Linked DNA regions of Tamandua tetradactyla. The protein of the gene in region 1 interacts with the protein of each later gene in a pairwise test. Links are inferred from orthologs where the notes say so. Each region holds a gene or a part of one and is shown in the gene's direction. Other genes may lie near its edges. The genes, in order: GPANK1 and CCDC184.

Evidence for each region.
Region 2: the proteins of GPANK1 (region 1) and CCDC184 interact in binary tests that used the Homo sapiens proteins (3 or more experiments, as listed by UniProt). The two-hybrid records come from large-scale screens. The link is inferred for Tamandua tetradactyla from reciprocal best matches to the Homo sapiens genes GPANK1 and CCDC184.

The regions. Positions count from the first base shown.
Region 1 is NC_135331.1:87,245,751-87,261,901, reverse strand, and holds GPANK1 (G patch domain and ankyrin repeat-containing protein 1), read left to right. Parts: upstream 1-7,409; 5' UTR 7,410-7,505; intron 7,506-8,348; 5' UTR 8,349-8,521; intron 8,522-8,764; exon of another isoform or gene 8,765-8,767; 5' UTR 8,768-8,871; coding exon 8,872-9,497; intron 9,498-10,091; coding exon 10,092-10,533; 3' UTR 10,534-11,552; downstream 11,553-16,151. Other genes in the region: LY6G5B (lymphocyte antigen 6 complex locus protein G5b), read right to left, coding at 1,474-1,874, 2,168-2,296, 2,419-2,476; CSNK2B (casein kinase II subunit beta), read right to left, coding at 3,513-3,603, 4,172-4,361, 4,505-4,580, 4,995-5,110, 5,617-5,719, 6,419-6,490; C5H6orf47 (uncharacterized protein C6orf47 homolog), read left to right, coding at 12,529-13,422; APOM (apolipoprotein M), read right to left, coding at 14,677-14,837, 15,007-15,105, 15,198-15,271, 15,549-15,703, 16,022-16,135.
Region 2 is NC_135333.1:108,227,675-108,243,375, forward strand, and holds CCDC184 (coiled-coil domain-containing protein 184), read left to right. Parts: upstream 1-6,889; 5' UTR 6,890-7,304; coding exon 7,305-7,898; 3' UTR 7,899-9,116; downstream 9,117-15,701. Other genes in the region: ASB8 (ankyrin repeat and SOCS box protein 8), read right to left, coding at 6,607-6,721.

The DNA.
Region 1 (16,151 bases):
CTTGTCATAGAGCTGGGACTGGCCTCTCAATCACAAGTTACACTGCTTTTCAGAACAAGGGTCCATAACATCAGCATGGGCTATAAAACTTGAAAGACAGGCACCATTTTGCACTCCTCTGTGAATCCTGGGGCCTAAGGCAGGGCTGGACTCAGAGGATTGTGTCCCTAAGTGTTCACTGAATGTATGGGAAAGGGCAAGTTATGTGCATTATTACTCTGTGTGCTTGCAGTTCTGAAAAATAAATTAAAATGAACTACTGCAGCCCTCTCTGTCTACTCTCTACACCTACCTCCAACCCCTGTAGAGGGAGGTCCTGGGTGCCAGGCTCTTTGAAAAGAATCAAGGACTGGCAGGATCCCAGGCCCCTCAGCACCAGGTGATGGCAAGATACAGGCCTGAACCCTTTCATTTCCTCCTAAGTTTTCCTGGTTTAAAAAGAAAGTTTTCTCTCTTCTTAGGTTGAAAAGCCTGGCACCCACTGGGTCTAACTTCCTAGGTTTTGTAGGGTAAGTTCAAGGTTGAGGGGTCATGACTCCTCTTCTTTGATCTCTAGCTAAGCAGATCAGCTGGATCTGGATGGATAGATGGGATGGAGATGGAGATGGACTCTTTGGAGAAAGCCACAAAAGTCAAGTGTTATGGGCAGAGCTCTACATTTCTGTTTGAATCCTGCACCTAAACTCAGCTTGCCTATAGTTGCCCATACCTGAGCCTGACCCCACAAACAATGTGACACAGACTTAGCCCAGACCCAGTTTATTGTGGAAGGAAACTGAGGGACAAAGGGCAGAGTGGGACAGACTCTCCCCTCTCCTTCTGCCAGGCACCTAGAAAGATGGATTTTGGGACTCATAGTTAGTGAAGTGGAGCTGAAGAGGCCAGGGGACTATGAGAAGAGATGATAGAGGGAGGGCAACAGGAGACCAGGGTGGCAGTTGGGGTGGTAAAAAGTGAGGCAGGAATACCAAAATGCCAAGTCAGGAAATCTGCACCGAAGTCTACCTTTCATTCTTCTCGCTGCAGGTTCAGCCTGGCACTGGTTTGTTTGTTTTTCTGGCACTGGGTCATAAGAGATGGGCACAGGAGTTGGGATACTAAGGTAGATATGAACGGAATTGGTAGATGATCAGATTGAAGGAGAACTGGAAGACGAAGGGAGACTATGAAATACTCAGATGATGAGAAAGGGATGGAGGAAACCACTGCACCATTCCTGGCACAGCCTGGGCAGAATTCACCCTTGAGATTCTTTGCCAAGGGGAAGAAAGAGCAGCTTTGAGTGCACTACCAACTTAGTTCAAGAGAGGAGATAAAACCAAAGTCATATAAATGTTGGCGGTTCAAAGGAGGGAGGCCTACACAATCAGGGTGACCAGCAAACGTGGGTGTTCTCCAAGAGGGCAGTGCAGGATTCCGGGGGTGTTAGGAGCAGGATGCTGTAACAGAATGGACTCTGGAAGGAGTAATGGGTCAGGGTCCAGCCCGAGGAAGAACCAAAAGTCCAGAACTGTTGAGAAAGAGGTAGGTGCGACGTAGGTCAGCAATGGACAAGCCCAGGTTCAGGAGCAGGGTGGCCAGGTGGTCCAGGCCTTCATGCTCCTTCTCGGCAGGGAAGCTGGGCAGGGGGAGTGAGAGGTTCAGGGCGTGGTAGAACTTATGGATCTGGGACTCAGGCAGTGGCAGGGCCAGGAGCCTATCAGGGGGTTCAGGTGGGGGGTTCTGAAGTTGGGGGCTTGTCCAGGAGTTGCAGTAATCATACTGGCAGCATTGGGCATCGTACCAATACTCTGAGACATAGGTGTGGCGTTTTTCCTGGCAGCGGTATGAATTGTGCTGTCCACAGCCCCTGATATTGAAGCGAACCTGGATATCTGGAATAGAGGGGACAGCCATTAATCCCTGCTGCCCCCATACTCCCCAGACCTGGCAACCCTACCACTGGCTTCTCCCATCCCTTATCCAGACAGGGCTGCCATCCCAGGCTCCTTCAGAAGGGGCCAGAAAAAAACAGCAAAGCTGACTCCCAAAAACTCCAGACCCTTCCTCCAAGATTCTCCTCTCTTTTTCCTGCACCTCAGACCCCGAGAAGTCCCTATCTATCAGAGGAGGGGAGCCCAAACCCTGGGCTGTTCCCCCAGAAGCCTCTTCCTTGGACTTAACTCACGGGAATAGATGGTGATCACCATGCATGGGGACGAGCCGTTGATAGTGCACTTCTCTGAGCCCGAAATGCAACCTATAGCCGGGTCTTCTAAGAGGCAGAAGTGGCAGGTCCGGACTTTGGGAACAGGAGCTAGGGAAGCAGAAAATGGGAGATAAGAGCTCCTCTGAGGGAGTTTGAGCATCTGGAGCCCCTTCCCCACCCTTTTCCTGGACTCAGTAACCCCTTCCTCCCTGCCCCTGTGCCCCACTTACCCTTTCCCACTGAGAAGCCCGCCATGACCAGGGTGCCTACAAGCACATGGACCTTCATTATGGAATTCTAGGGAGTGGGACAAGTCCCTGAGAGATGCCTTGAAACCCCACTTTCCTATGACCACGCTCCTTGATCCTGAACTGCAGGGTAGTTTTGACAGGCAGTCTGAGCAAGGGTTGCTGTAGATGCAGAGCTATATTCCTGCCTGGGGCAGAATCCTGGGCTGAGGGAGAAGTTAATTTGTCAGGAAGGACAATGTGTTCTCACCCACGAGGTCTGGTTCCTGAATGTGGGGGCACTGGCCTGGTCAGAGATAGTATCTAGGACCCACCTGGATGTTTAACCAGGCAACTTTGTCCTGCGTGGTCCCCCGAGCCCTATTCCCTCCCCTCAAGGATCAGTATGTCTGTGTCTGGGACCATTTGCTGTCTTCTTCCACACAACAGGGCTGGACCAGAGATGCTGGGGAAAAAATGGGCTGCGGAGCCCAGTGTGTGCAGTCTTCTGAGACAGCATGTCTTGACTCCCCCAGCAGGGGGCGCACAGGCACCACTGAGCAGCAATTCCGGACCTTGTCCCTCTTTGCTCTATCCTTCACAGTTGTTATTTTAGGACCACTTCCCCTTTAAAACCAAAACTGAAAGACAAGGTTGTCAAATTTCGTTATGTCCCTTAGAGTATAAACAGACAGCCTTAGATGGCCTGAAAAGAACAAATATTTCTCTAGTCTTTGAAAACTGACTTTTCTCCAGGTCTTTTCCTTGTAATGGTACACTCCTTCACATCCAGTCCTAAGAATTCTGCTCTGTTCTCCACTAAGAACATCACTCAAACCCACCAGGCACAAACCTGTTCTAAGTTTCAACTTGGGGAGGGTGGGCCATGAGGGCTCCTGAGGTCCAGCACGCTGCCACCTTCCCTTCCCCAACCCCAAGCACCAGCAGACTGGCTCATGGCCTTTTCTTCCACTTTATTTCATATTCCCACCACAGTAATGACTCCTTTAATTTAAACTAAAAACCATGAAGGGTTCCTGAAAGGGTGGCAGCGAAGGAATAGGGCCATCAAAGACTGAGGGACAGGTAGGGGGTAATCAGCGAATCGTCTTGACTGGACTCTTGAAGTTGCTGGCGGCTTGGAGCTGCAGCTGGTAGGCCATCGGATGGATCTTGAAACCATAGAGCCTGGGTCGGGGTGACAGGTCAGAGAGGCAGCAGGGTGAGTCCCAACCTGGCCCTGCCAGGGGTCTGCATTCCTGTCCCCACTCCCTACCCCCTACCCCCAGATCCTCCTGGGCCTGCTCAATGCTTAAGGGCAGCAGTTCCCAAACTCCTGCACTGGAAAATATCTGGACATGGATCTTAAAATTGAAACTCTAGGATATATAGTTGTACTTGCTTCAATATAAAACTGAGCCTTTCCTCCCCACAACCAGACCGGTGCTTTAAGATGAGCCAGGTTTACCCTGTGGCTCCCAGGATTCTCTGGTAAAAGGTTGAACTCTCAAGGCAGTGGTGAAAATAGCTTAACATTACAATAGTGCCTTGGAACTTTGTTCTAAACAATCTACATATTTAACTATACCCTGTTAAATAAATTCTGTCATCAATCCTGTTTTACAGGTAAGGAAATTAAATAAGGAATTTGAATAATGCATTCAAGGTCACTCAGCAGAGAGAAGCCCTGGCTTTGGGACAACCAGGGACTTTCATGCCCTTCCTTTGACTCTTGGTGACTGTCCGAGCTCCCCACCTGGGCACAAACTGGTTGGCTGGCCGCTTAGGTCGGTACTCGGGGTGCACCATGAACAGCATGTGAGGGAAACCAGTGCCGAAGTAGGCGCCGTCTGTGTGGTGGTGCCTTGATGACTTGGGTGTGTACACATCCATGCACTTGGGGCAGTAGAGCTTCACCATGGCCTCGCCTGGGATGTCTGATAGGCCTGGGAGACAGCCAGACTCAGCAGGCTGGGCACTCACCCACCAACCCTGACCAACTCCCCCCCCACAGGACTCAGGCCCAGACTTGCTGAGTCCCAACTCCTTCCCAGGGAACCTGCCATATGTCACCCTCCCCAACACTCACCAATGGGAAGCATTGGCTGGTTCTCACAGTACACACGGGGACAATAGCCAAAGTCTCCCTGCTGGTATTTTTCCAACTAAGGTGAATAAAATGGAAGAGATTGGTGGGTAGGTAAGAAAAAGCAACCTATGTGGTTCTGACTCCCTTCTCAACCCAACCCACATCACTCTGTCCGTCAATCCTCCCGCCTCTGTCAGAAGTTCCCTCTCTGGCTCAAACTCCTCGGCTTTCCTTCAGCTAGGCTGAGGACCATCAAAGCCATTTGCCATTTGTTTCCTGAGGAAGAGGCAGCCTATAAGAACTTCTATTCAGACGCATGTCTCCCTCCCTGACTCAAGTCTGGACTCAATTCTCAGACCCAAATTTTGGGATTCTTTCCCTCTTCTCAGCTAGACTCCCTGGCAAGGTTAAAATGTGTGACTTCTCACTGTGGGAACCTTCGTTTCTCTTATTTCTCAGAAGAAGTCAAGTGGGAGCAGAGAGACCTCACCATCTGGGCAATGCCACGGTTGGTGAGGATGTAGCGGGCGTGGATTAATCCATACAGCATCTCCGCCGCCTGCTCAATCAGGTCACTCTGGTTGGGGTTGTCTTCCAGCTCTTCATCTGAAATATGTTCCAGCCCAAATGCAACACTAGTCATTCAGCTTTCCTAGATGCTCCACCCACTCCCAGGGGTACCCGCCACCCACTATTTAGGCATCTGACCCAGAAACCTGGGTCTCTGCTTCTCCTTTACACCTCTCCAGCCTCTGTTTTCTTCTCCCCCTCCCAATTCCTTCCTCAATGCATAAATGCAAAGACGTTAATGCAGAATGAGGAACTTTAGTCTGGAAAGTGCAGGGCAGGAGAAAGAGGCAGAAAACAAGACATGTGCGAAAGATGGCATTATGGAACAGAGTTGAGTTACAAGACAAGAAAGCATGGGAACATGTGGCAAGAACTTGGCAAGAATCAGATGGTGATCAAAACAAAACGAGGAGTTTTGGCTTTAGAAAGCCACAGAAGCAAAAAAAAATTAGGAATTAAAGAAACAAGTGAACAGAGATTTGTAGAAAAAGGGGAACAAAACAAAGACAAATAAAAAAAAACAAACACTGAGAGTGCCTCACCAGGCTCCAGGTCCAAAATCATGTCTAGAGCTTGCCGATAGTGGGGTACTTGCTCATTGAGCCCTGTGAGGTTGAACTTGTCCTGGATGTAATCTTCATCCACCTGTTAAGATGTGGAAGTCAAGAGGGAATTCATAGCGGAATCCACAACTTTGGCCAAGGCAAGTTGCTCTAAATGATGCCTGGTCCTCAGTGTAGCTACTTCTATTACCCTTGTTCCCATTCCCAGGGACTCAATAGAAGTACCTGACTTTCTCTTTCCCATTCACACATACTCCTTTCCATAAAAGTTTTGGCTTCTCTGTTCTAAGGATAAAGTGGTACACCAACCTCCACCTTGGAAACATTCTGTTCATGTTCTGTATCCTTTTTCCTGAACGTCACCCCACCCACCCACTCCCATCTCTAGGAACCACGTTTATCCTCTCCTTAGGGACAGCTGTCTCTCAGGAAGGTGGAAGCTGAACAGCTTAGATTCCCAAGGCAGTTACAATCCTTATGTTACTACAAAGTTTTGCACTTCATAGAACTTTTTAACACACAGTACTTCAATTTTCCTCAGTCAACCTGAAAAGAGACTGCCACTACCACCCCACTATTATGAAAGAGACACAGGTTGGCTTATTCAAAGTTACACTGCTGGAGAATAATGGGATTAGTATTTCACCACAGGTTACTGGGCCAAACTGAGAGGATCATTCTTTGACAGAAAGGAGTTTTCATGGTAGCATGTGAAAAAATTGAGTGAGAACGTCTGGGGCCAGAATATGTGTAGGAAATAGGGACGTTTAAGAGAACTCACTTCACAGAAGAATTCATTGCCACGGAGCCCACAGAACCAGGAGATCCAGGATACCTCCTCTGAGCTGCTCATCTTCACGTCTGCAGGGAAAAAAATATGTGAAGCTGGTGACCCACAGCTCTTGCTCCCTGCCTACTCCCTTAATATCCTCCCTCCTCCTACACTTTGCCCTCCAACCACAGAGAAATTTGGGGCCACCTTATCTTAAAGGATCTCTGACTCTACAGCACACCTTTCCTGCCCCTCTTATTTACATGCCTTGGCCTCCTTCCCCCCCAATCAGACATTCTGTGATGTTCCACCTCCTACCATCATTTGCGAGAAGCCTATATATCTTTTCTCACTAGTTCTCTCCACATCCCTGGCGATCCCGAATGCTAGGTCCCTTTTCCCCCGTGTCAATTCCGGTAGGGTCCGCGCCTCGGACGCCGAAATACCGCAAAGCTCTGCATCGCCCGGTTCCCCAGGGTTCCGAAGTTAATCCTTCCCGGGCAATCGCCAGGTTTCTTCTTTAGATCCCTTCCATAAAGTTCGCACATCCCGCCTCCACCCCTCAGGACACCCCTCCCTCCCTTCCTCCCTGGGTACCAGACCGGGTCACTTCCTTCCCCGCCCCCACATCAAGACGCGGAGACCCCATGTGCCGCGCCCAGCGAGTAGACGTTCCGCACAGCGACGACCTCAGACTCACCTGCTAGACGGTGGCCAGGACCGGGGGAGGGGGGGTAGGGGAGTTGGTGCTTTCAAGGGGCGGCGACGACCGCTACAGCGAAGGCCACGGACCGGACCGCGGCAGAAGCGGGGTAGGGGGGAGTGGAAATTGGAGAGGGTGGGGAAGAGGACGACGCGCAAGCGCTAAGGGTCGGGTGCCAGGGAGGACGCCGGGAGATGAAGTCTCCGGTACGGAGAAACTAGCGAAATGAGGGAAAAGCGAACTACGAATCCCAGGATGACCCGCATCCGACCCTGGGGTCGCGGAATCCGCGAGGAAGGCTGGGGGCGGGGCGCAGCGAGTCACCACCGGAAGCGGAAGCCTAACTCCACGTTCGGGGCCAGAGACTAAGGGAAATATAATCACGTGTTCAGGGTACGGAGGGGCCGACGTGGGGCGGGGAAATAGCGAGCTAGTCTCTGGTTCCTCCCCGCCGCTCCTCTAGCCGAGCGAACACTGGCTACCGGCATAGCGCTGCCGTACACGGAACTGATTCCATTCCGGACCGTTCTGCTGGGCCCTTATCAGCTATCGGGCTCCTTGCCAGAGTCAGGCCAATCCCTGGCAGGGCCCATGTTTCACTTTGGGCCCCGTTCACCCGAAGTGGGAGGTGCGGTCGGCATTCGTGCTGAGAAACTTGGGTGGGATGTGCTGCGCTGGGCTGAGCGGTCTAAGAACCAGAATGGTCCACTGCGCTAACCTGAGGTGGCACCAGCCATCCTGCCGCTCGTCGCCTTGCACTGCTCCATCTCTTAGAAGAGCTACAGTGGGAGGGGTTTTTTGCTATGGGCTCTAAGTGTGATCTTCAAACCCTGATCAGAGTAAGGGTGAGGGGCACCGTGACGTTATTTTATGTCACAGCTTATCGACATTCCACAGGTTTTCCTCTGCCTCTGTAAGACCTTTCTTAACCCAGGGACTGGCTTCCTAGTTCCAGAAAATGGGCTGGAAATGTGGACAATGTTGAGGGTTGCGAAGGGCATTGTGGGGCGTTATGTAAAAGTCGGGCCTCAACCGACTGATCCTCCTCGGTCCTCGCGACAATTGGGCACATGGTGCTTTGCGCGCAAACTATTGGCACGATTCCAGGGCGGGAAACTGAACCCGACGCTTTGCGCACGCCGGCGTCGGGAGTAGTGGCTGTGTATGCATTTTTTTCAATCACGCATGCGCCTTCGTGTTCTGTAGCTATTTGATTGTATTGGCTTGTTTTATTAGAGTAGCGCCATTTTGCCGTACGGAAGCTCTAAGAGACAGACGCCTCTGCTTGACATCCTCTTCCGGAGAAGTGTCATGTCTGTTTTTTTGTTTTTTGTTTTTTTCCGGAAAGACGGAACCCCGAATTAGGATTGAGGAAGATTTAAAGAGCCAGGCTGATGTTTTTCTTAATGGTATGTCTTACGGGGTGGAAAAGTTGATCCAAAGAGAGGCTGGTATTATTGCTGGGGAGGTCTGGACTCGGGATCTCTGGGCAACTCTCTCAGGGTGTTTTCTTTGTTAACCTTTAGCAAGAGACAGACCTGTTACTGTAGGATCTCATATTTTTATACGTGACCTTGCAGGCCCCTAAGTTCGGGGGTCTCTTTTGGGACAGCTATGGTCTTTGATTCTAAGGTTACTTTTCCTCACCCCAGCAGCTCCCTGGAAGTGGATTTGGACACTGCAGAGCCACTAGGCGCTTGGCTTGCTTGTCTGAGCTTCCCCTTGCCAGAGTCTCATTCTCTCAGTTCTCCCCCAAGTCATGTCCAGGCCTTCTCTTATCACCTTCACCCCAGCCAGTGACCCCAGCGACCTCTGGAAAGATGGGCAGCAGCAGCCACAGCCTGAGGAACCAGAGCCTGTCCTGGATGGGCCTGCAGCCCGGGCTTTCTATGAGGCCCTGTTTGGGGATGAGAGCAGCCCCTCAGAACCTCAGAGATCTCAGCCTAAGCCTATCAGGGTGAGAAAGAGGAAGAAAAGAAGAGTGGTGGGGACACCTGTGGCAGAAGCAGCAGCAACAGCAGCATCAGGGGGACACAGACAAGAGAGATCCCTTGAAGCCGAGGACAAGATGACTCAGTGGATACTGAGGGCAGCCCAGGAGGGGGACCTGGCAGAACTTCAAAGGCTACTGGAGCCATGTGAGGCAGGGGGTGCTGGAGGGAATATCAACACCCGGGACACCTTCTGGTGGACTCCCCTGATGTGTGCTGCCCGAGCCGGCCAGGAGGCAGCTGTGCGCTATCTCCTGGGTCGCGGGGCTGCCTGGGTGGGAGTCTGTGAGCTAGGTGGCCGGGATGCTGCCCAGCTGGCTGAAGAGGCAGGCTTCCCTGAGGTGGCCCGGATGATCAGAGAGAGCCACGGAGAGACAAGGAGCCCAGAGAACCGGTGAGGGGAAACCTTACCCCATAAACATATATCAGTGTGCTCTGCCCTTTCTAGTCACTCTGTACCAGAGGTTCCAGAACAGAGCTGGGAAGCTTTCCTCCTCAGTGTAGGTGATAAGATAGTATACTGGAGGAGTTCTGAACTCGAGCTCCCAGAATTTGAATCCTGACTTTACTTACATGGGCAAGGAACCTAACATCTTTGTGTCCCGGTTGCCTCAGCTGAGAAATGGGGGTAATAACAGTACTTTCTCACAGGGTTGTTATTAGGATTAAATGGGTTAATACATGAAAATGTTAAATGGTGCTTGCCATATAAGTATTATATAAATATTAGCTTTACTCATTATTCTCATTATCATTATTATTTTTCCCTTCCCCAGGAGCTTTTTGAGACCTGGTTACCACCTCTTCCCCCAACCATTCCCATCTGGGTTCCCACTGGGTTCTTCAAGTGGGGAGGAAGGCAATTTGTTCCTTAGCCAGAGGGCTGGAGGGAACCTGTCCCACCCTGCCAGCCCCTTCTGAGGCCTCTGTGTTCTTCCCCCACCCCACAGCCCCCATCCTCAACTCAACTCCTCTTCTTCCTCTGCAGGCCTCATGCTCCCTCTCCCCAGTACTGTGAGACCTGTGACGCCCACTTCCAAGACTCCAACCACCAAACGTCTACTGCTCACTTGCTGTCGCTGTCCTGGATTCCCCAGCCCCACAACCTGCCACCTGGAGTCTCTGCCTCCAATCCAGGCTTCAAGCTGCTGCTGAGGGGAGGCTGGGAACCTGGGATGGGACTGGGACCCCGGGGTGAGGGCCGAGCCGAACCCATCCCAACTGTCCTCAAAAGGGACCAGGAGGGACTAGGCTACAGATCAGCACCCCAGGCCCGAATCACACACTTCCCAGCTCGGGATACCAGGGCTGTGGCAGGGAGGGAGCGAGCCCCTCGAATGGCTACACTGAGCCAGAAAGAGGAGAGAAGGCATGAGAAGGGCAGGGCCTGGGAGCGGGATCTGAGGATATACATGAACTTTGACTTCTAACCTTGGTGAGGTCTGACCCTGGTCTGCTGGCATCTGACCATTGGCTTCTGACTATGTCACTTTGGCCTCTGCTCCCTGGGGTCCACCCAGCTCCCTAGATCCTTAGGTTTTGTTCAATGGGCTCTGACTTTTGGGAGAGAAGAGCTAAGAGTTGAGAAATAAATCAGTCTCCTCCCTCTTGCATGATTTATTCACTTTTTTGTGAGATGTTGTAAGGAAGATATTCAGAAGTGTGGGGGCCAAAGTAGCAAGGTCCCCCCAAAGCCATAAGGGGCAGCCCCTCCAGGTGACATAATGGGGTCATGTCCCTGCCAGTTTGGGTTCACTTTCAGGTCCTAGCCATTGCTGGAAGTGCCCTACCTATTCTTTCAAACTCCTAAACCAAGAATTGCCTAGCTCTGTGCAATTCTCAGGAAGCCTGCCCTGACCACTCCAGTCAATTCAGCCATTGATTTCACAAACATAAGTTCATATACAGTGTGCTGAGAATATGAATGAGACATTCATACAGAGGAGTAGGGAAGGTTGGCAGAGGAAGTGATGAGAACGGATAGGGTCTGGCAAGAAGAGTCTAGAGTGGTGGGTGGGCCTAGAGGACCAACACTATCCAGCTTGTACACTGTTGGCTCATCTGGGACCAAAACTTATGGCTTCCTAACTCTAAACTTTAAAGCAGGGATCATCATTTCACAACCTGAAAACTTACGGGCAGGAAGTACATCCTAATTGTCTCCACTGCCCTGTGGTGCTCATCCCAGATGCCAGGCCTGTGAGACGCTCACCATTATCAATTCCAGGAAGTAAAATCTGTGGCAGGGAAGGGCTGCCCAAGTCCAAGGCTTCCCTCATCATCTTTCTTTCTGGAAAAGTCATTCATAAAGTCAGAAGACCTGATGATGGAACCCGCAAAGGGAGGGAACGGGCGAGTTTAGGGACGCACTGGTCGCCCTGAGGCTTCTAGGCGGCGGAAACGGAGAGCCGCGTTTATGGACAGGCCCTGGAGCTCGCTGACTCCTGCCCGGCGCCCTGCTGTGCGGCCCGGGGCGCACCACAGGCGCGAACAGAAAGCGCCGGGGCGCGGGGGCGGTCGATCGGCAGGGTCCGCCCTGCGAGCTTTCGGCCCCGCCCTCGCCTATCCCTCCGGTTCCCCCGTTCGGCTGCTTCCGGGCTCGGCGGCTCCGGGTGGCTTCTCGAGGCCGCGGCCCCGACGCTGGGCCGGGGAGGGGCCACTTCGCGCAGCTCCCGGACGCCTGGATCCCCAGGCAGGCCCACGCTTTGCTCCCGTGACCGGAATCTCCGGGGATATCCCCGGTCTGACCTTGCAGAAGGCCGCGTCTCAGCTGCGCGCGCGGGGGACCGATCGGGGCACCTTACAGGGTTCAAAGGCCCCAAATCAAGGGAAAACGCTGCTGCTGGCTGGAGTTTGCTGGACACTCCCCCCCCACCCCCCAACGACGAGATCGCCTATTCCTTAAGCTACCTAAGAGCGGCAGTTCAAGACTCCCCAGATCCAGGAGCACTTAAGACCCGAGGCCACCTTTCTACCTTCCTTCCTTCTTGGATGGAGCACCGCCTCCCCAGTTTCTGGGGCACCTGGGGGCGTGGCCTTGGTGAGTGAAACTTGGGGTGCTGCCTTCTGGGAAGGAAACCCAGAAACACAGGGAAGACACGTTTTCGGGGTGACCCAGGCCTTGTTGGATCCCAGGACTCTTGGAATCGTGTGCGTTGGGAAGTTGTGAATGAATTTCGGTATACCGCCCTTCAGTCCCCTCAAATTGAAAAAGAATCTAGGTGACCACCTGCCAGACTCGAGTTTGTATGACCACTTGGGCAAGTGAATTCAGAATAGGACGGTCTCACCAAGTGGACACCTGTTCTTCTGAGCCTGAATGGACTCTGGCTTGCTTCAGAAGAGACCCTCAGTCCCCAAACCTGAGAGTCTGAGCAGTGCAAGGAAGTAGGCCCAGAATTTGGGGCTTTTTACCCATTCTGACCATGTTCTTGCACCGACTTGGTGGCTGGCTACCTCGTCCCTGGGGCCGCCGGAAAGCAGCGAGGCCTGACCTGCTTGCCCCAGAACCCAGACAGGTGGACAGCTCCCCTGAGAATTCAGGGAGTGATTGGGACAGTGCCCCAGAAACCATGGGAGATGTGGAGCCTCCCAAAACCAAGGACTCCGGGGCATGGAGGAGCTCTGGGGCTGCCCCAGAACCAAACAGGGAACCCCCAGTTGAGCAAGTGGGGAGTAAAAGAATGGATTCCCTCAAGTGGAAGAAGACTGCCACTGGCACTGAAGACTCTGGGAGACTGGAGGCCGAAAGGAACATTCCCCAACTGGGTTGGGATCCTGTGGACTCAGGTGACTTCAAGAGACCCGGGGTGCCCCCTGAAGGGGCTCTTAGGCCCCCTGGTCCTGATGCCCCAGAAATGAAGCCAGGCCGGCATCAGAAACTGCTGGGCTGGCTGCGGGGGGAGCCAGGAGGAGGAGCAGGGGATCCCTCACTGTACCTGGGGGGCCCAGAGGAGCGTCTTCAGATCTCCACCAACCTGACCCTCCATCTGCTGGAGTTGCTGGCCTCAGCCCTGCTGGGGTTGTGCTCGCGGCCACTGCGGGCAGCCTTGGATGCGTTGGGCCTGCGCGGGCCACTGGGTCTCTGGCTGCATGGGGTTCTGTCCTTCCTGGCTGCCCTGCATGGGCTCCATGCCGTGCTGAGCCTACTTACCTCCCACCCCCTGCATTTTGCCTGTCTCTTTGGCCTCTTGCAGGCTCTGGTGCTGGCTGTCAGCCTCCGGGAGCCCAGTAGAGATGAGGGGGCCACTGACTTGGAGGCTGAGCGATCAGGGAGGGAAGGGGGAGAACAGAGGGAGGACCTGGGAAAGGGGCTGTGACTGTGGGGTGGGTGGGTGGGTGTAGGGGGTGAAGATTGTGTGGCCTTTAGGAGGAGAATGGGGAGGGGGTGGGCATGACCAGGTCAGAAGCACAGGGACTTCAGGGATGGGGAAGAAACTCTGGGATATAAGGGTGCAGGTCCCTTTTTCAGATATGAGAGAAAAGGGCTGCTTTTGAGTGTCTTTTTATGGATGGTGGGGGCACTGCCCTTGGATTCACCAGCTGTTGTCACTTTCTGCTTTTTCATTTTTCCAATCTCCACTTATAAAAATGGAGGGAGGGGGATAAAGACTAAAGTTTCCTCTTTACCTTTCAAAATTCCTCAAGTGGGGAGGAGGCCAGGGGCAAGACAGACAGACCTTTGGCCTAAGAGGGTGGTTGGGAGACCTAAGACATCCTCTGGATCCTGGGATCTGAGCCATGGAGGGAAGAAGTAGGCTGCTAGGTGGGTAGATTGGGGCCCACATGTTACAGGAAGCCTACAGGGAGGATCTGGGTGTTCACAGGAGCCAGAGGGAGTGGCAGTATTGGCCGGAGGGCCAGCTCAGAGGGGCTGGCAGCTCTGATAGGCAGTGTGGAGGATGCACTGGAACTTGCAGTTCCTACTTGGTGGGTTTGCTTATTCAGCAATAACTGTCACACCAAATTCTAAATATACCATTACAAAGTAAGAGTTTACTGCCACTCTGTCCTTCCTGACGCCGTACAGCTGGGGGTTTAGGTGGTGGAGTCGGGGAGTACTGAAATGAGGGGAATGGGAGTGACCCTGGAGACAAACACCAGAATGATGAGGGTTGAAAAATCTTTATTATTTTTGAAAGGAAGTTGGGAGTCTCCAGCTTTTCCCCCCACCAGAATCTCAGCTCCCACAATATCTGTCTCAAGGCACAGAGAGAGCCAGAGGTCAGTTGCTGGACAGCTCGCAGGCCTCTGTGGCAGGAGGGAGGAAAAAAAAAAGAGGATAGGAAGGAGGGAAGACCATGAAGAGGAGCAAGGCTGATGGTAGTAATGTGTTCCTTTGTTCCCCTGTGCCATTTTCCCTCCATGTCTGGCCCCGGCCTCCCTTTACCCACTATGAACTCAGAAATGGCTCTTTTGAGTAGGTTAGAGCCCATCTTGACTAAATCCCCAGCCCTTGACCAAATCCTTCTGATGCCATCATAGCCTTTGACCCAAATGGAGGTGTCAGTCCAGCTACTCTGATGACATCAGCCTTTGTTTATGCCCTCAGGTGACATTACATGAGCCCTCCTTCATCCAGCATCCCCAGACTTACTCAGTCCTAGTCTTCTGCAGTAGGAATTTAACCCCTCACCTTGATTCTTGGGAGTCAGTAAGAAGGCCTTGGAGTCCAGGCAGGAGGTCAGGAACTGGAATTCCTCCACACACTTCTCAGGAGGATGTGGTGAGCGATCTGGAAGGGCAGGGCCAGGACAGTCAAAGGCCCTGCTTCTCAGCATCACCCTGGTGAGTACCTCATGGGCACGTCACCCCTTCCTGGGGTGATGTTAAGGGATTCAGAGTAAGGGCTCTCTTGCCTTCCTGTTTCCCTCTGACCTTTCCTGCCTTGCATCCCCACTCACTGTAGAAGAGGAAACGCTGGTAACCCTGGCCCATCTCTTTCAACATGATTCCTCCTGGGCACGAGCTGGAGAAGAGCTTCGTTTTCATGTCAGGGCGGCCTGTCAGGGTGAGTGGGGGGGCAGGGGATGAGGACAGAGATGCATAAGCAAGGCCAGAGGACATGGAGAGGGTGAGGGCTGAAGGAACCAACCTTCAGTTCTAAGATCGGTGCTCCCGTCAGTCAGGTAATAGATCCACTTCCGGGGCACACAGAGCCCGTTTTTCCTACAGAGGTGGTGGTGGCATGAAGGACAGACTTAGAGACACTCCAACCACATAGTCCCAGCCTCCCTTTACTCCTCCTTGAAGGAAACTTGGATCCCTGTGGATTTCAAGCTACCAAAGAATGGTTAGATCTAGCTTTCTCTTTCCAAAGGGAAATAAGTACTACTGAGCCAAGAATAGTGGAGGTACCAGCCAAGAGCCCAGCTCTTGGTGGATGAGTGCTTACTCTTTGGGCAGAGACCACACCCACTGACACCTCTACCTCCTCGTCACTCACGTGCGGATAGTAGCACGAAGCTGGAGGTGTCTTGGGGCAGAGTCAGTAGTCATATTGAAGACAATGTTGTCCACAGGGTCAAAAGTCGCCAATTCCTCCCTGGTGGGAGCTGCCCCTGCGATAAAGTACCACCGACCTAGGTGGGGCTCTGGAAACTGAAGAGACAATTTGAAAAGCAAATTGTCAGTCAGGATAGGCATTGGCTGCTTTCCTCTTTGCAAATGGGGGTCAGATCCATGACAGCAAGTCATCAATGACTTGGGTAGCCACCATCCCACCCCACCCCCACTCCAATTCTGCCATGTCTCCACAGTTATGGCTTCAGAACTAAAATCTTTCTCCCTGCTTTTGTCATCACAACACTCACAGCATCTTCTTCCCCTCCTTTCCCCATGTGGCTTCTGGTCATCCTAAGCCACCCACCCAAATTCCCCAGGGCCTCCACCATAGGCTTCACGTGTTCTCTTCCATACCTCTTTCCCATCCACTCCCAGAGTTGTCAGTTGACTGTGCTCAGGGCAGTAGTACATGGAATCAAGGAGAATGCCATAGAGGTAGAGCAGAGCTGCCCAAATTCGGTGGAACATCTTCAGGCAAGAGGGA
Region 2 (15,701 bases), on another chromosome or scaffold:
AGATGTGGCAGTGAACAAAAACAACTCCTGTTCTACGGACCTTACTTTCTAGTTAGGGGCAAAAGACAAAAATAAATGAGCAAATAAAAATATAGTATAATGTTCTAGCTTGCTAGCTGCCAGAATACAATACACCAGGAATAGAATGGCTTTTTAAAGGAGGAATTTATTTATTTTACATGGGCAGGCACCGGGAATCGAACCCGGGTCCTCAGGCTTGGCAGGCAAGCATTCTTACCTGCTGGGCCACTGTGGCCTGCCCTTTAAAAGGGGGAATTTAATAAGTTGCTAGTTTACAGTTCTAAGGCTGAGAAAATGTCCCAATTTAAACAAGTCTATAGAAATGTCTAATCAAAGGCATCTATGGAAAGATACTTTGGTTCAAGAAGGCTGCTGAAGTTCAGGGTTTCTCTCTCTCAAGTGAGAAGGCACATGGCAAACAGGGTCAGGGTTTCTCTCTCATCTGGAAAGGCATGTGGCAAACATGGCATCATCTGCTAGCTTTCTCTCCTGGCTTCCTTTCATGAAGCTCCCCAGGAAGCGTTTTCCTTCTTCATTTCTAAAGGTCACTGACTAGTGGGCTCTCTGCTTCTCACAGCTATGTTGTTCTGCTCTCACAGAAACTCTGAATCTCTCTCATTCTCCAAAATCTTTCCTCTTTTATACAGGATTCCAGTAAACTAATCAAGACCCACCTGAATGGGTGGAGACACGTCTCCACCTAATCCAGTTTAACAACCACTCTTGATTGGGTTACATCTCCAGGGAGATGATCTAATTATAGTTTCAACCATACAGTACTGAATAGGGATTAGAAGAAATGGCTGCCTTTACAAAATGGGATTAGGATTAAAACACAGCTTTTCTAGGGTACATACATCCTTTCAAACCAGCACAATAACATATATTGATAACTGCCATGGAAAAGAATAAAGCAAAGAAAAGGGATTAGAGAGTTCTGGGGTGAAAGGAGTGGGGGCTGCTATTTTATATAGGTGATGGTCAAGGCTGATTTCACTGGCAAGGCCATGTTTGATCTGAAGTAGGGAAAAGAGTTGTGTACATTCTAGGGGAGAGTGTTGTAGCATGTGCACAGACTGAAGGGAGAGGGACCACAAGGAGGTCAGGGTGTGACTGGAGTGAGAAAGGCTTAGAGTTAGAGAAGTGGCCCAGGATAGGTTGGAGAGGACCAGATCTGGCAGATCAGGTAGAGCTTCTTTTTTTTCTTTTTAATTTTTTAAAATTGTATAATATAGTATTTATACAAATCAATGAAAGAATAAAGCAATAGTTTTCAAAGCACTCTTCAACAAGTAATTAAAGGACAGATCCAAGAGTTTTTTAAGGGCTACCATACCATCACTTCAGATTTTTCCTTCTAGCTGTTTCATAATATAAGGGGCTAGAAGGAATTCATATATATTGTCATCACAAGTGACTTTCTTTTTTTTTGGTGAAAAATAACATATATACAGAAAAACAATAAATTTCAAAGCACAGCACAACAATTAGTTGGAAAACAGATTTCAGGATTTGGTATGAGTTACAATTCCACAATTTTAGGTTTTCACTTCTAGCTGCTCTAAGATACTGGAGACTAAAAATAAATATCAATGTAATGATTCAGCAATCATATTCATTTGTTAAACCCTTTATTCTCTGTATAGGTAGAACTTCCTTTGAGAGGGAGGTAATGGAAGGATTTCTGGCAGGATCTTGGTGCCTTAAGAACAAACCAAAAACCCAGGCATTGTGCCTATAAACTGTGAACCTGAGGTTGAGCCAGAAGACGGGGCTGTTTTCATGAGAGACTTCTTAAAAAGGTGCTTCAAGGTCTGGGTGAAGTTGGGAAAAGTGTCCATTTCCTCACTTCTACTTAACGCCCAGAACTGCTGCGGTATTTGGAAGACATGGATGACATTTTGGGGACTCTGTCCATCATACTACCATGAGCACTGTGCATTTGTGGGATAAAATTGGAGTGTACCCTTGCAGGGGCTGCTAAACTGCAGCTGACCCTTGAGGTACCATACCCCATAGCAAAAGAGAGTGCTAGAAACCACTTTTGATAGTATTATAGGACTTCTGAGAGGGATGGGAAGAACATAACTAGATATAATGGACAGAGTGACACCTACAAAATTTTGTATGCACTGTCTGTGATGGTAGACCGCCACGGACTTATTCAAGATATGACAGGTGAGATGTGACCCTGGAGGTTTGCATAAGTCAGCATTGAGGGATACTAAATTTCTAAAATTTATTTTCATGGAAGGAAAGTCTGTGGGAATGCCACATTCTCTACCTTCTCTAGATGAGGGCATAATTTTCCTTTAAACAGGACTGATGTTCTACAAGCAAAATTGCCTATGGCATAAGGAATTGTAGATGTCTGTCGATGGCACAGCATTATCCTGAGGAGGATTCTAACTTGTGGTCAAACTGTGCCCTGAGCATTTCCAGAATGGTAGCTTCCTAGGGGCAGAAAATATATGGAGAGATTGGAAAGTGGGTGAGGCAGTGCACAGGAGGTCATCAGAAGCTTCAGAGCTGCCAGTGCCTCTGTGGCTATAGCCAACTACCCAGCTTGCTTTGACTGGAATTGCTTATGTGAGAGTGGTGTGGGATAAATGATTGAATATGCACTGAAAGAGGAAAAAATGTCCGTGCAAGTGTTGCTATAAGAGAAGCTGTAACCGTGGGCAGTACAGAGAGGGGAGAGAGAATGGACACCGACAAAGCAGGTTCAATTGGAATAAGGGATCACTTTCAGTGGAAATTCAGCCTGCCTGAGAAGTTGGACAGAGCCTTGGAGTTCTTGCTCTGGTAAAGTTAAAAGTGGAAGAGAAAGAAGGCAATGGTATGTATGTGTGTGTGTGTGTGTGTGTTCGTGGGGGTGGGGTGGGGGTGATTGTAGTGGTTTAAGGTCATGAACAAGCCATTGAAAGTCCAGCTCAGGCTTTAAGTAAGGAGTGGATATGTGGCTCACCTCATGGCCATGTCTGTCACTAAAATCTCTTGAGGACATGGATAGTTGAGCTCCTTCCCAGTCAACGGTTCACAAGGGCCAGAATCCTTGAAAAATTCGATGCTTGTTACTCTGGGTAAGTGGGGAGATGAGCAAAGCAGGTCGGCCATAACACCAGGCAAATTATCCTCTGGTACCGAGAAAACCTAGTCTAAGTGATAGACAAAACCCATAATACGAGTATTCTCATCCTCTCAGTATCTCTGGCCCTCTGAGACACCTGTCATTGACAGCTGGGGTACCTCGAATCTGTGCAGGTCAGGGAAATGAGGGACAGAATCAAAGGAACTGAAACAAACGTGGACTGATCTACATTGGATAGGCAAGGAGTCTCTTCCTATAGAAGACAGAAGGAATACATCCAGAAGTGAGAGAAGCAGAAAAGAGAGAGAGAGTGAGGGCCAGGCTTGTGAGAAAGTTTGGGGGTATCTGGGGAGAAAGGAGAAAGACTAATGGTAACAGTTATGCTATTACGTGTGCAATAAAGGGAGAAGGAGGGAAGAGAAGTTTAAGATGGTTTACTCTGTGCTAAGAATATAAGTAAATCCCTTTAGAATTTTCCCAGAGACTTTAATAAAAATTTCAATTGCTTTTTAATTATTTTTGGCTAGTGTATGTATTTCTTTTGAATGCAATACCATACTGAGATGGGTCACAGGCACTTCAGCTTCTTAAAAGTTACGTTTGGGGAGTTATTGTTGGGGATTTGGAAACTAAAGTGCAGTAGTCAGCTGTATCTTGACTTAGATCATTGTCCTAGACCCGAGTCAAGCAAGTATCTTCATCATGACTGTTACATTAATAGTGCAAAAGATACCCAGCTATATAGAGACTGAGATAAACTAGATGCCAGATAGAATAAATAACAGAGACTATTCGGAATCCAAATTTAAGGGAGAATATGATGTTGGATCTGGGTGCACCTGATAGGAGATCTATATGTGTAACAGCATGGGGTCTCTTCTCGTCATGAGCTGATGAGACTAGGATGAGGGGATAGCAAGACTAAGATAAGAGAAAAGCAGGAAGCAGAAGCAGAACATGACGGGGGAGGGGGGATTTTTTTCTCTCGCGATGTGACATTCCTTCTGAATACTTCAGTGGGATGCCAGGATGCCCATCCTGCTTCCTTTTGTTTGGAAATGGATCCATTCAACAAACCTAGGACATTGGCATCCAGAGAAACCAGCCCTGTAATTCAGCCATCTGACTGAGGCTCTGCTCTGCTGTGCAATTTTTTGGAGACTAGATTCTACTCCTATTTTCCCAACATATTTTCACTCAGAATTCCTGAAATGATCTGGTTTTGTATCTGTCACATCAATCATCTCCTTCTTTTATTTACAAATCTTGCTACTGGTCCATTCCCAGTTCCCACCTACCCTTGGCTTTCGAATGTCTGACCTGGAACTTGATTGGATCATCGACACCCCTTCATCTCTGCACCTGTTTCCCATTTTCTTTCTTGCTTCTCCAATAATTTCCCTCTCCTCTAGGCTCAAGCCTGCTGTATTCTCAGCAGGCTTCATGGCCACTGCCTCTAGACAGCATGATGTAATCTTATGCTAAAGCCTTGACATATCTGGTATCCTCAACAATAGTGGAAAAAAGCCTTGTATGATGGCATAACCCAGCTCTGACTCTGAGGAGGCTATGTTTAATGTAGGGTTAGTGGATTGATAAAATAGGAGGCCCTCTTATGAGGACAGGGCCATTACTTGTAGGTAGCTGTAGGCCAAGAGATGTGCAGTAACAGATGCAGGCAAAAAGCCTGGAAGTCATGCCAGCCTTTTTTGGCTGGAGTATAGCTCTCTTAGGAAGATTGAGCAGGAGGCTGATTCCATAAGCTCTGCAAACAAACTTGCTATAATATGACCAGAAATGTACGCTGTACAAGCTTAGCTGCTTTTATGTGCCTTGTCTTTACAATTTTTTGTAAAGTCTATTTGTAAATATCAGCCCACTTCAGGTGTGTTTAGGGAAACCAAGAAAAAGCATTACTGTCCTCTCCTGAGCCAGTGCTTTCGGAATACTCTGTGGAAGGTAGCAGGGATAAGCAAGGTGAGAGTGATTCAACTTTGTGAAATGAAGGAAGAGTAGATAGGAAGGAAGGAAAGAAGGGAGGGAGGCATGGAGGGAGGAAGGAAGGAGCAAGCGAATAGTATTGAATCATTAGTTTTAGAAAATACTGTGGGTTTTTTTTGTTTTTTGTTTTTGCTCATTTATTGGGAAGAGGATCAAATTTCTAATGGCTGTGTACTATTGTATTATGTCAGCAATGCCTTAGATTATTTAAACATTGTGCTGTTGGACATTTAGGATATTTCCAATTTATATTTTTTAATAGCCGTAAGACAGGCAAAGGCCAAACAGTTTTTTAGTGCCCTAAGTTTCTGGGCACCAGCTTCCTCGTCATCATTAGAGCACCCAACCAAAGTAACCCCAAGGCAACACATTTGCTTTCACTGAACAACTGTACAAAAAACATTCACCCATAGCTAGCACTTCTCCATATTGAAGTGATAGTTTGTTTTTTCCCACATGTATTTGTTCTTAGGAACTTCATTTTCGGTTTCTAACCACTTGGCTTCTCTGACTTAGTAGAGACATTATTTACTAGCATGCTGCTGCTCAGGTGCTCACTGCTTCCCAATCTTGTGTCTTCTGTAAACATACTAAATCAAATTTTTCTTCCTCCACCTCAACTCTCACTCTCCCCCTCAAGTAGTGTCACAAAAGTTGGGACATTCAGTGTATGTCATGGGCACTGGGGAAGGGGGGGATATTACCCTCACACCTGGTCCCCCCCCCATCATCCCTCTACACTTTACCGTTTCACCTGTGAGCAGGTGTAGTATTATTCAGAGTTGGAAATAATGTTATGGATTATCCACAGATCGGGAAAACGTGGATCAGGAACCCACATATTCAGGAAACTGATTAAGCCAAGATCTCTGAATTAATAGTGGCAGAACCATACCCTGAATTCAGGTCTCAAAAAAAATCCACTACTTGTTGAGAGTTCTGAATGAGGGAATGGGGGACAGAGTGATTGTTGTTAAAGTACTCATTCAACGAATCTACTGAGCATTAATTTACTATGTGCCAGGGATTATTTTAGGTGTTGGGGATTAAGTGAATGAGGTGAAAAACAAAAACAAAAACAAAAACCTCTGCTTTTAGGAGCTTTCATTCAAAGTGTGAGTGCTTTGCCTCACTATCCTGGAAAACCCCACAGTGACCTAGATAGGAGCGAGTGGGTCTCCAACGGAGGAAATCCCACCCTTTCTCAGTTTTGTGCTTACTACAGTGAAATAGGCTGATTTTCTGCAGAAACTTCCGTAGTGCCCTCTTCCTGCCCCTGCACAGCTATGGCCTGCCGGGACCCACCGCAGAGCGCCGCCGCGCACCAGTTCAAGTCTGGGATTATTAGCGTAGGTCTTTCTACCCTCCGCTTCCCTGCAAACGGCTGGAGGACAGAAAAGTAGGACTTGGGTCTAGCGCCATTCCTTTGACAAAGGAATACCGACTGGTGAGAAGCATTCTGAGGCAGTCGCGCTCAGTGTCTAATACCCTACCTGGGGGAGGGATGATCTCTCCTGGGCTTGGCGTGTACGCAGCAAACTGCTCCCTCCTGCTTCCTATAGAACGTCGCAGCCACATGCTCTCTCTACCCTGAGGCCACTGCAGCATCCCCTCCCCTCCCGCCCCACCTGCTAGCTTAGACGAGGGAGCCCCACTGCAGCTTCCCAACCGTCCTCTCCTTTTCTTCTCCACTTCCTGGTTGCCATGGAGACAGACGTCATTTACGTGCCGTGCGTCGCCTTGGAAACAGAGGAGCATTCGCGGCGCGGCCGGGAGACCCACCTCTGCCGCTCCAGCCACACTCGCGGGCGCTGCCGGTTAATGGCGCGGGGGAGTCCCGAGGCGGACCCGCTGCTGGCCTCGGCCTTGACCCAGGCGCTCGTGGCGCTCGAAAGGCGTTGCCGGCACGGGCGCAGTCCAGGATAAGCAGGGCAGGGTGCTTCCGTCCCGGGGACAGTCCGAGAGTCGCCGGCCCTGGGACCCTCGCCGGGCGCGCGTCCCGCCGCCTCTGCCCTGCCTCTCCAGGTCCTGCCCGCGCCCTCCTCCCAGGACTCGTCTCCTCAAGTCGGCTCCTGCCCCTCTGGAGAGCCTGCTCTTCCCTGGGCTCCTCTCGCCCCCCCGGGGACCCCACCCCTCCCCGCCCCTTGCCCCACTCCGAGACCGGGCCGCCACCGCCCGCTTGTGCCATTCAATGGAGGAAGGTCTGCTGGAGATTATGACCAAGGACGGCGGCGACATGCCGGCGCCCCTGGAGGTGTCCACCGTGCCGGCCGTGGGGGACGTGATCTCTGGGGAGTACAACAGCGGCATGAAGGAACTGATGGAGCACCTGAAGGCCCAGCTGCAGGCCCTGTTTGAGGACGTGAGGGCCATGCGGGGGGCCCTGGACGAGCAGGCCTCGCATATCCAGGTGCTCTCGGACGACGTGTGCGCCAACCAACGGGCCATCGTCTCCATGTGCCAGATTATGACCACCGCGCCCCGCCAGGGCGGCCTGGGCGTGGTCGGCGGCAAAGGGAGCTTCTCGGGCACCCCCCAAGAGCCGGAGATCCCTTCTCCTGGGACGGGAGACAGTGGCTTACCGGGTCGTGATCCCGAGGATCAGGAGGACGACGATGAGGAAGAGGAGAAGGAGGTGCCCACCAGTTCCGCCACACCCACCAGTCACTGTGAGCGCCCCAAGAGCCCCTGTGCTGGCCTTCTTGCGGGGGACGGACCACTTGTGGATCCCCTTGATCTGCCCGACATTACCCTCCTGCAGCTGGAGGGTGAGGCCTCTCTGTAAGGAGACTCCGCATGGGCACTACCTTCCCCGGCTGGCTTTGGGTTTCCCGGTGCATGACGTGAGGGGATTGAACAGCGCGGTGCAGCATGCTTCTGACGGCTGCTCTTGTTGGTCAGACTGAGAGACTCCCCTGAGGAAGGATTTGTAGGGTGAAGACTTTGGGAGCATCAAGAATTCTTTCTGCCCAATAAGAGAGACTTTGTAAACCGCGGAAAGGTGAGGTTCAGGGAGAAGAAGCGGCCCCATCTCTGGACTACCATCCATCCCCTACCCTACCCTTGTCCCCTCCCCAGCCAACTGGAGAACTCCTAAATTATGTAAATAAAATTCTGCTTTTTCTATTCTGAAAAAGGACTTATCTAGGACTCTGGCAAATAATCTTTAAAGTTTTACCTAGGAATTAAGGAATTGGGGTATTCTGTTCTGGAAACAGGAAATTTACCTTTCTGCTGAAACCCAAGATATTCAGTGCTCTGCAGAAACCTCTCCCCCTCACAAATCTCTGCGCCTGATGATTGGTAAAGAAAGCTTGAGGAGGGAACTGCAGCCCTAGGAATCTGGGTGAATGGGGTTCCAAGGGCGCTTGGGCTGGGAGGAGCTGGCTATGTATGTGCATGAAGACATAATAGCTCAACTTCTAGGATTTTTGCATGGATCCTGCCTTGTCACTGACTTCATCTGGGATTGCTTTTCCACTCACTGGGGCTTAGAGAACAAAGAGCCCGGTTCACAGGCAGAGACTCGGGATGCTCAGCAACAGCCCAGCTTTAGGGGACGTTTGAGGGACTCTTGGGGGCTGCAGTCAAAAGCTGGTCTCACTTCTGGCTATTCCTGCTTAACTTTAGCTCCTTTTCCAGACAAAATGTCCTTGCCCACTGCCTCTTGGTGTTGCCTCCATGATGTCTTGTGTGCTTTGTGTGTCCACTTGTATAGTAGTGTGTGAGCCCTGAGGGGCAGGGCTTTTGGCTCTGATGTTAGGTTGAGGAGGCTGCAGACCCTTCTGGAGCTCTATGCTATCATGGCGCTTCCCCCTTTGCTCTCCTCCCCACCCACCCCCAACCAGGGCATGGAGCATGTGGCTGTCCTGAGGATCCTTAACTGATGTGCCTCCCTCATGCCTCCTCAAGTGGTGACTTGTGTGCTCTTCTCCCTCCTTTGTGTATTCCTTCTCAATGCTTTCCTTGGTGTGAACTTAATAAAGAGGTGTCATCTCCCCTCCTTGCTGACTGGTATCAGGGGGATATCAGGGTGAGGCTTCTGGGCCCTGGATTCTGGAAGGAACTCTGCCTTCTTTCTCCCTGCCTCCAGTTTTGAGGAATTGACCGACTCTGGTCGGGACCGACACTGACAGCTTTGCCGGCTTTACTTTCTTTCCTGGACCCTAACCACCAATTGGACTAAGGAAGGAGGGAGTATGTGTTGAGACTCCTAAACTAAATTGGGTTTTTAGTAGCCCGAACTCTAGATGTGCTAGAGATGTCTTTTCAGTGAAGTAACTGGTCCCTGGGAGATGATTTCCAAGCCTGGGTCCTGGAATGGCAGGCATAACACCTGTTTCATGGAAGGGCTAGAGAGGGGATATTGTTTGGGAGGGTTTACCTGGGATTGTTGAGAGGTAGCGACACACAAAGGAGAAACCACAGTAACTGCCACAGGCGTCTACTGAAGAATGCCGGTAAGGGGTTCCCCAGGGAACCTAGACTGACATCAGCTCTAGTCAGCTCCTTTGAGCAATGGAAATTTCTGGAGGTTACCCTGGAACGAAATTCCCATGGCTGCATATGTGTGTGTGCTAGTGCTGCTGGTTGCTGAGGGAGGTGGAAACAGCACTGGAGTTGCCAATCTAGCCTTAAACCTCAGTTCCAGGACTGAAGCAATCACTTAATACTTAGTTTCTGCATCTGTAAAATGGGAATAAAAAGTTGTTGGGGAGGATTAAATAAGACCTCTAAGAAGTCTTTTGCAAATGTTAGTTTCATTACAGTTCTCTTGGGGATGGGTGGGATGGTGGCCAGCTCATTTGTGAAAACAAAACTACCCAGAAGTTCTTGTTTTATATAATTGTTCCCTATCTAAAGTATCCTTATCCTTCAGAATAGATTTAAGGAAAGGAAGATGGTGAGATTCCCTACAGACAAAGGCCTTTTTGTCATACATGTTTAAGCAGCTAGGGGTCAAAAAGGTCTTTGCACATATAGGATGAACAGAGGAAGCCTTGAATTATGCAGTGATTGGGGAACCAGTGCTGGGTGCCCTAGAGAGGGCAGCTAAAGTATGTAAGAGGGGAAGTGTCCTTGAGGACCGGGAAATAGGTTCCTGCTGTAACAGTTCCAACATTCAGCACTAATAATGACAATGATAGTTATCATTTATTGAGGACTTACTGTGAGCCAATTTTGTCTCTTGATATCCCTATGATGTAGGCATTATTACTATTTCCAAGTCTTAGAGTCTGTTTCTTGTTCAAGGTCACACAGCTGGTACTTGACAGATGCAGGACTTAAACCTTGGTTTGCCTGACTTAAAGGGCCCTTGATCGAAATCACCCTGCTTAAGTGCTCTATTATTTGGATCTTCTGAGAGGATTCCTTATTTCTCCAATCTGGAGTACAAACAGTCCTGAAAAGACAAGAAAATGTGATTCAGGTTTTGGTTAGTGTAGCTTCTGAGTCTAGTGGGTGATAATGCAAAAATGGCACCAAGAAAATGGCCTTATGGACCTGCTCCTTGAGAGTATTTCCTGACACAACACCATCCTTGTACATCTTTCCTAGTCTCTGTAGCTCAGATTGTTGGAGTCTGACATGAATCCCAAGGGTTGCCTTTTCTGTAGAAAAGTCTAGTTAAGCCTTTTAACTCTTGACTCCATTTCAGTTCCCCTTCCTAAGCCCTCTATGGCATCAGTCCTTTAGCCAGGGGCCTCCTAAAGGTTATCTAGCTATTCTCCCCAAGTTTAGTAGATAAAAATCTCCCCCGAGAAAGCGAATTTTCAGCTTTCTTCAGTAACCTGTACTAGCATCTCACAGGTATCCAGCACAGGTTGGTCTCCCACCTCTTCCTTCTTCCTTGTTCCTCACTCTCCTTTTCTGTTTCTCCTTTGGAATGCTCCTGATGAGTTAGTGGAATTGCTAATGTGGCATTTCAGGGGGCCACACTTCCTTGAAATTGAATGCAAAATCTTGTAAGTATGTGCATTCTCTAGAGAGAAGGGCCATTCTTTTCACTTGATTCTTAAAAGGGTTTATAATACCCCCAAAAGACTCTTGAAGCTAAAGGGCAATAAGCATTTTTATCTTGAAAAAATACCAAAGAAAAAAATGACAGTGCCTGAATCTGGGACTCCTGGCATTTTTATCTCTTGGGGCCTCCTAAGTATTTTCCACAGTAAATTGAAATCTTCACATAAATCTGATTACTAACTACTTATTCAACCAATCCAAGTAACACTGACACCTATTATATGCTAAGACTCCTGCCTACCACTACTTCCAAGTTTGTTAGCCCCTGGGAATTTGCTAGAGCAGTGCTGGTATATGGAAGTGAGGAGATGACCCTACCGTAACTTTGTGCTGCTTGGTACAAAGCATCTGGACTCAAGAACACTGTGTGCCCAGCATCTCATAGTCACTCAGAACAACACTTTCAGGTCCTGGCCTTCTCATCTCTCACCTGTCTAAGGATTCAGCTCTTAATCTCAAAATGAAAATACAACTTCAGAGAAATAAGATACAACTTTAGCCTAATAAAACTCAAATCTGCTCTTAGAAAAAAAGTTGTTTTTCTAAAGGGTACAAATTGGCCTCTAACAGAAACAAGCAATTTTATAAATGATCTTAATATCACCACCGATAATGGTCTCTGCTTGATATGTTTAATGAAATGTATCATCTGGACATTTTACCAGCACTGAGGAACAGTTCTTTCCCAAATATATTTAAGTCTATATTTCTCGCAAGAGAGAAAACTGCTTGCGTTTTGGGAAAGCCAGCTTTCATAAGCATCTTTCCCCATCTGTGTTCTTGGGAATAGACATTTGGCCAGGATACCTTGCTATGGTAAGAAACGATATGGAAGGACAAAAGGAGGATTTTTGATTCTTATATTTTTTTCCACTTCTGGATTATCCCCAGAAGGTGGATTTCCCCAGAAAAAACAGCCCTTCTGCTTGAAAGCACAGTGCTTGTAGGACTTGTGCTCTGTAAATAATGTTGTGATGGTGCCACCTGGTGAACAATGGGATCATTACAAGGGGACTCTCAATGTGAATTTATGGCTTTATATTCAACAAGCACCACCAAATGTTTACTGAAGACCTGGCTCACTGCCAGATGGTGGGGTGATAGAGAGAGAGGGAAACTGAATAAATAGAATGAATTTGAGAAGAATACAAAAATGACTGCAATAAACTCCTAATTGGTCTCCCCAGGATCTCCCTCATCTATAATCCTGGTTTAGGAAGATTACTCTCCCTAAACCAGAGCTCGGAACATTCGTTCTCCTCAGAAACCTGCATCATATCCTCAATACTTCTTGAATTAAATATAAAATCTGGTGGACAGGGGAGAGTGGAGCCAAGGTCCTCCCTAGTATGGCCCTGACATACTTTTTTCCCCATGTACTTCATTTTCCTGTTAGATTTTCTAGCCATATCACCAGTTTGAAGCCCATATCATTCAAATTGAGCTGGTAATGATTCCCAAAGGCATTTTAGGGCTTTTAATCCTTTGATGAGTGTTCTGGGTGAGTCCCCCATTGGCCCTTGATTCCATTTCTCTTAGTCTTTTCCCCAAGGGCATGAGATACAAATCTCCTTTCTAGAAAAGGAACTTCTGCCACTTCAGTCACCTGCACCAGCTTCTCATGAGGTGTCCAGTAAAGCTGCCCTTTCTTCCTTACCACTTTTCCCGTTCTTATGCTCCCTATGAATGGGCAATCCTTAAAATTGATATGCAATTTTTTTGTGTTTATGAGTGTGTGCCTTTCTTTTTATTTTATTGTAAACAACAAACATACAAACATTCTTTCTTTTTTTTTTTTTTTGGGCTTCTCTGCACATTTTTTATTGAGACAAAATTCACATAACATGAACTTGACCATTTTAACCAATAGATTCAATTAAGTTGAGCACGTTTGCAATATAGTAATTTCCAGAGCAATTTCATAACTCCACAACGAAACTTCATACCCATAAAAAGACTCACTGTCCATTCCTTACTCCTTTCAACCTGTGTCACCCATTAATCTTTTTTCTGTCTCTATTGATTTACATATTCTGGATATTGCAGGTAAATGGAATCCTTAAAAAATATCTGACCTTTTTTTTTCATGGGCAGGCACTGGGCATACAAACATTCTTGACATACAAACATTCTATACATGGTGTACAATCAATGGCTTATAATATCATCACATAGTTGTGTGTTAATCACCATGATGATTTTTTTTTTTTGAACATCTGCATCTCTCCAGCAAAAGAAATAAAAAAGAAAAAAGAGAGACATGCCTACTGGATCACAGCTCTACAGTTTCAGTTACTTGCCTCTAGCCACTTTAATACACCATAAACTAAAAAGGGGATATCTATATAATGCATAAGAATAATCTCCAGAATAACCTCTCGACTCTGTTTGAAATCTCTCAGGCACTGACACTTTATTTTGTCTCATTACTCTCTTCCCCCTTTTGATCGAGAAGGTTTTCTCAGTGTCTTGGTACCAAGTCCCAGCTCATCCCAGGATTTCTGTTCCATGTTGCTATGTGCCTTTGTTTATAGGAACAGAGTTCAAAACTTTCATAAAATTCTTAAAGAGGTCTGTAAATCCAAAAGATTAACAAAATATGGCAACTACAGTCAAAATATGATCCCCTTCATAGAGTCATTGAAGACATAATTAGTTAAGATGAGGCCAAACTGGATTAGGGTGGGTCCTAATCCAATATGACTGGTGTCCTTATTGGAACAGGGAAATTTAGACACAGAGACACAGACCCAGGGGAAAATGCCACATGATGTGGAGAGTGACATTGGAGTGCTTGTTACAGGACAAAGAATGCCAAGGATTGTTGGCAAATTACAAGAAGTCAGGTGGAGGCAAGAAAAGATTTTCTCTCTTATAGTTTCCAGAAAACCTTGATTTTTGACTTCTAGCCTCCAGAACCATGAGACAATAAATTACTGCTGTCTTAAAAAAAAAAAAAATCCTTTTCCCGAGAAATGCCCCCATCTTCCTGCATTTGATTCTTGTTCATTCTGTTTACTCTTTCTACTCCATCCCATCTCTGTCAGTTGCAATCCTGCTAGTTCAGACCCTACTCAAATACTACTATTTCATGGAGCCTTTCCTCTCTTCCTTTTTAAACTTCCATTTTTTTTTGTTTCTCTTTTTAGAACAATTGCTCTCTTTTGCCTTATTTCTATTAATCTTTTTGTGTTTGTGTTATTCTCCCTCCCAGATCACAAGTATCTGGAGAGCTGGAACTGCTTTCTCATTGTTATAATCTCTGAACTATCTACCTTAATTTTTTACTTTAAGGCACCATTAATTGTGTGGTATTTTGTGTGCTATTTTAGAAATCACTAAGATATAAAAAGTACTGTCCATTAAACTGTCACTATGCTTTATCACCTAGATTTTTAACTTTTATTCTTATTTAGAGCACTCTTTTTAGATTTATTGGGAAACAAATTTTTTTTACCATGTCACTACTGTACACACAAATATAATTGGAAGTCATTACAATATTCCTATAATTTCTTCACACTGAGTCTGACACTTCTGAATCACTTTTTGACTCAGAGTCAAAATGCCCTATATTTCTATGTAGTGTTACTCTCTGGGCCATTTAATGTGTTTGTGTAGAAGTATTTCTTAAAAAGAGTGCTCCCTTATTGTCTCTGGAAATTTCTTCTAAACTACAATACCTATTCTTCAAGTTTTAATACTGGCAGTTTTTTTTTTTTTTTTATCTTACCAGCAGAAATTCAGGGAAGGTGTTTGTTCAGACAACAATCAGGACTAATATTCCTTCAAATGAATCTTTAAATGGATGACTGACTTAAACATCAGGTTTGTAGATTTACATTCATGCCCATCTAGAATAACTACTATATTCAGGCATATGTAGGCAATAACAACCACTTCATAACTGCTGGCTGGCCAACAGTAATTGTAGACTGCCATGGATTTTTAAAACACATCCTGTTTCAGAGACATTAACATGAAAAACAAATACTATATCTGGAATCACTGAAATAGGTAGTAAGGGATCTTTATAATAATAGGCAGAAAATCAATTTCTATTTGAATCTGAAATATTTAAATGTATATTTTCAGGTTTGGGAGTTGGGATTTAAACCAACTTTAATCAGCTCTTTAAGAGACATGGGAAGTCCCTTCAGACATCTGGGTTATATATACAATGACATGATTGTGTCATTTCAAATGACATTTTCAAAGATTCCAAGAGATGATGATCTATATATTTTTATTCACAGCTCTAAAATCCTGTAGTTGCTCATTTAAATATTTCATGAGTGGAAATCTACAATCCATCCTTATGGGAGAAAAGAAGGTTCTCAGAGTATGGGTTGTGTGGCATTAGCAGACACTCTCTAAAATGTCTACCACAGCTAACGAATGACTAAATAACATGAAACCCAGTTTTTTCTAACTCCAAGCCAGTTCCAGAAGTGTCTTATGGTGGATGAAAGGTAAATTCCTATTATAAATAGTACTTTTTAGCTCTCTCCTGCATTCCTTATTTCTTCCTATCACCTAGGCTTGAAATGTGAGATTTCCAGTC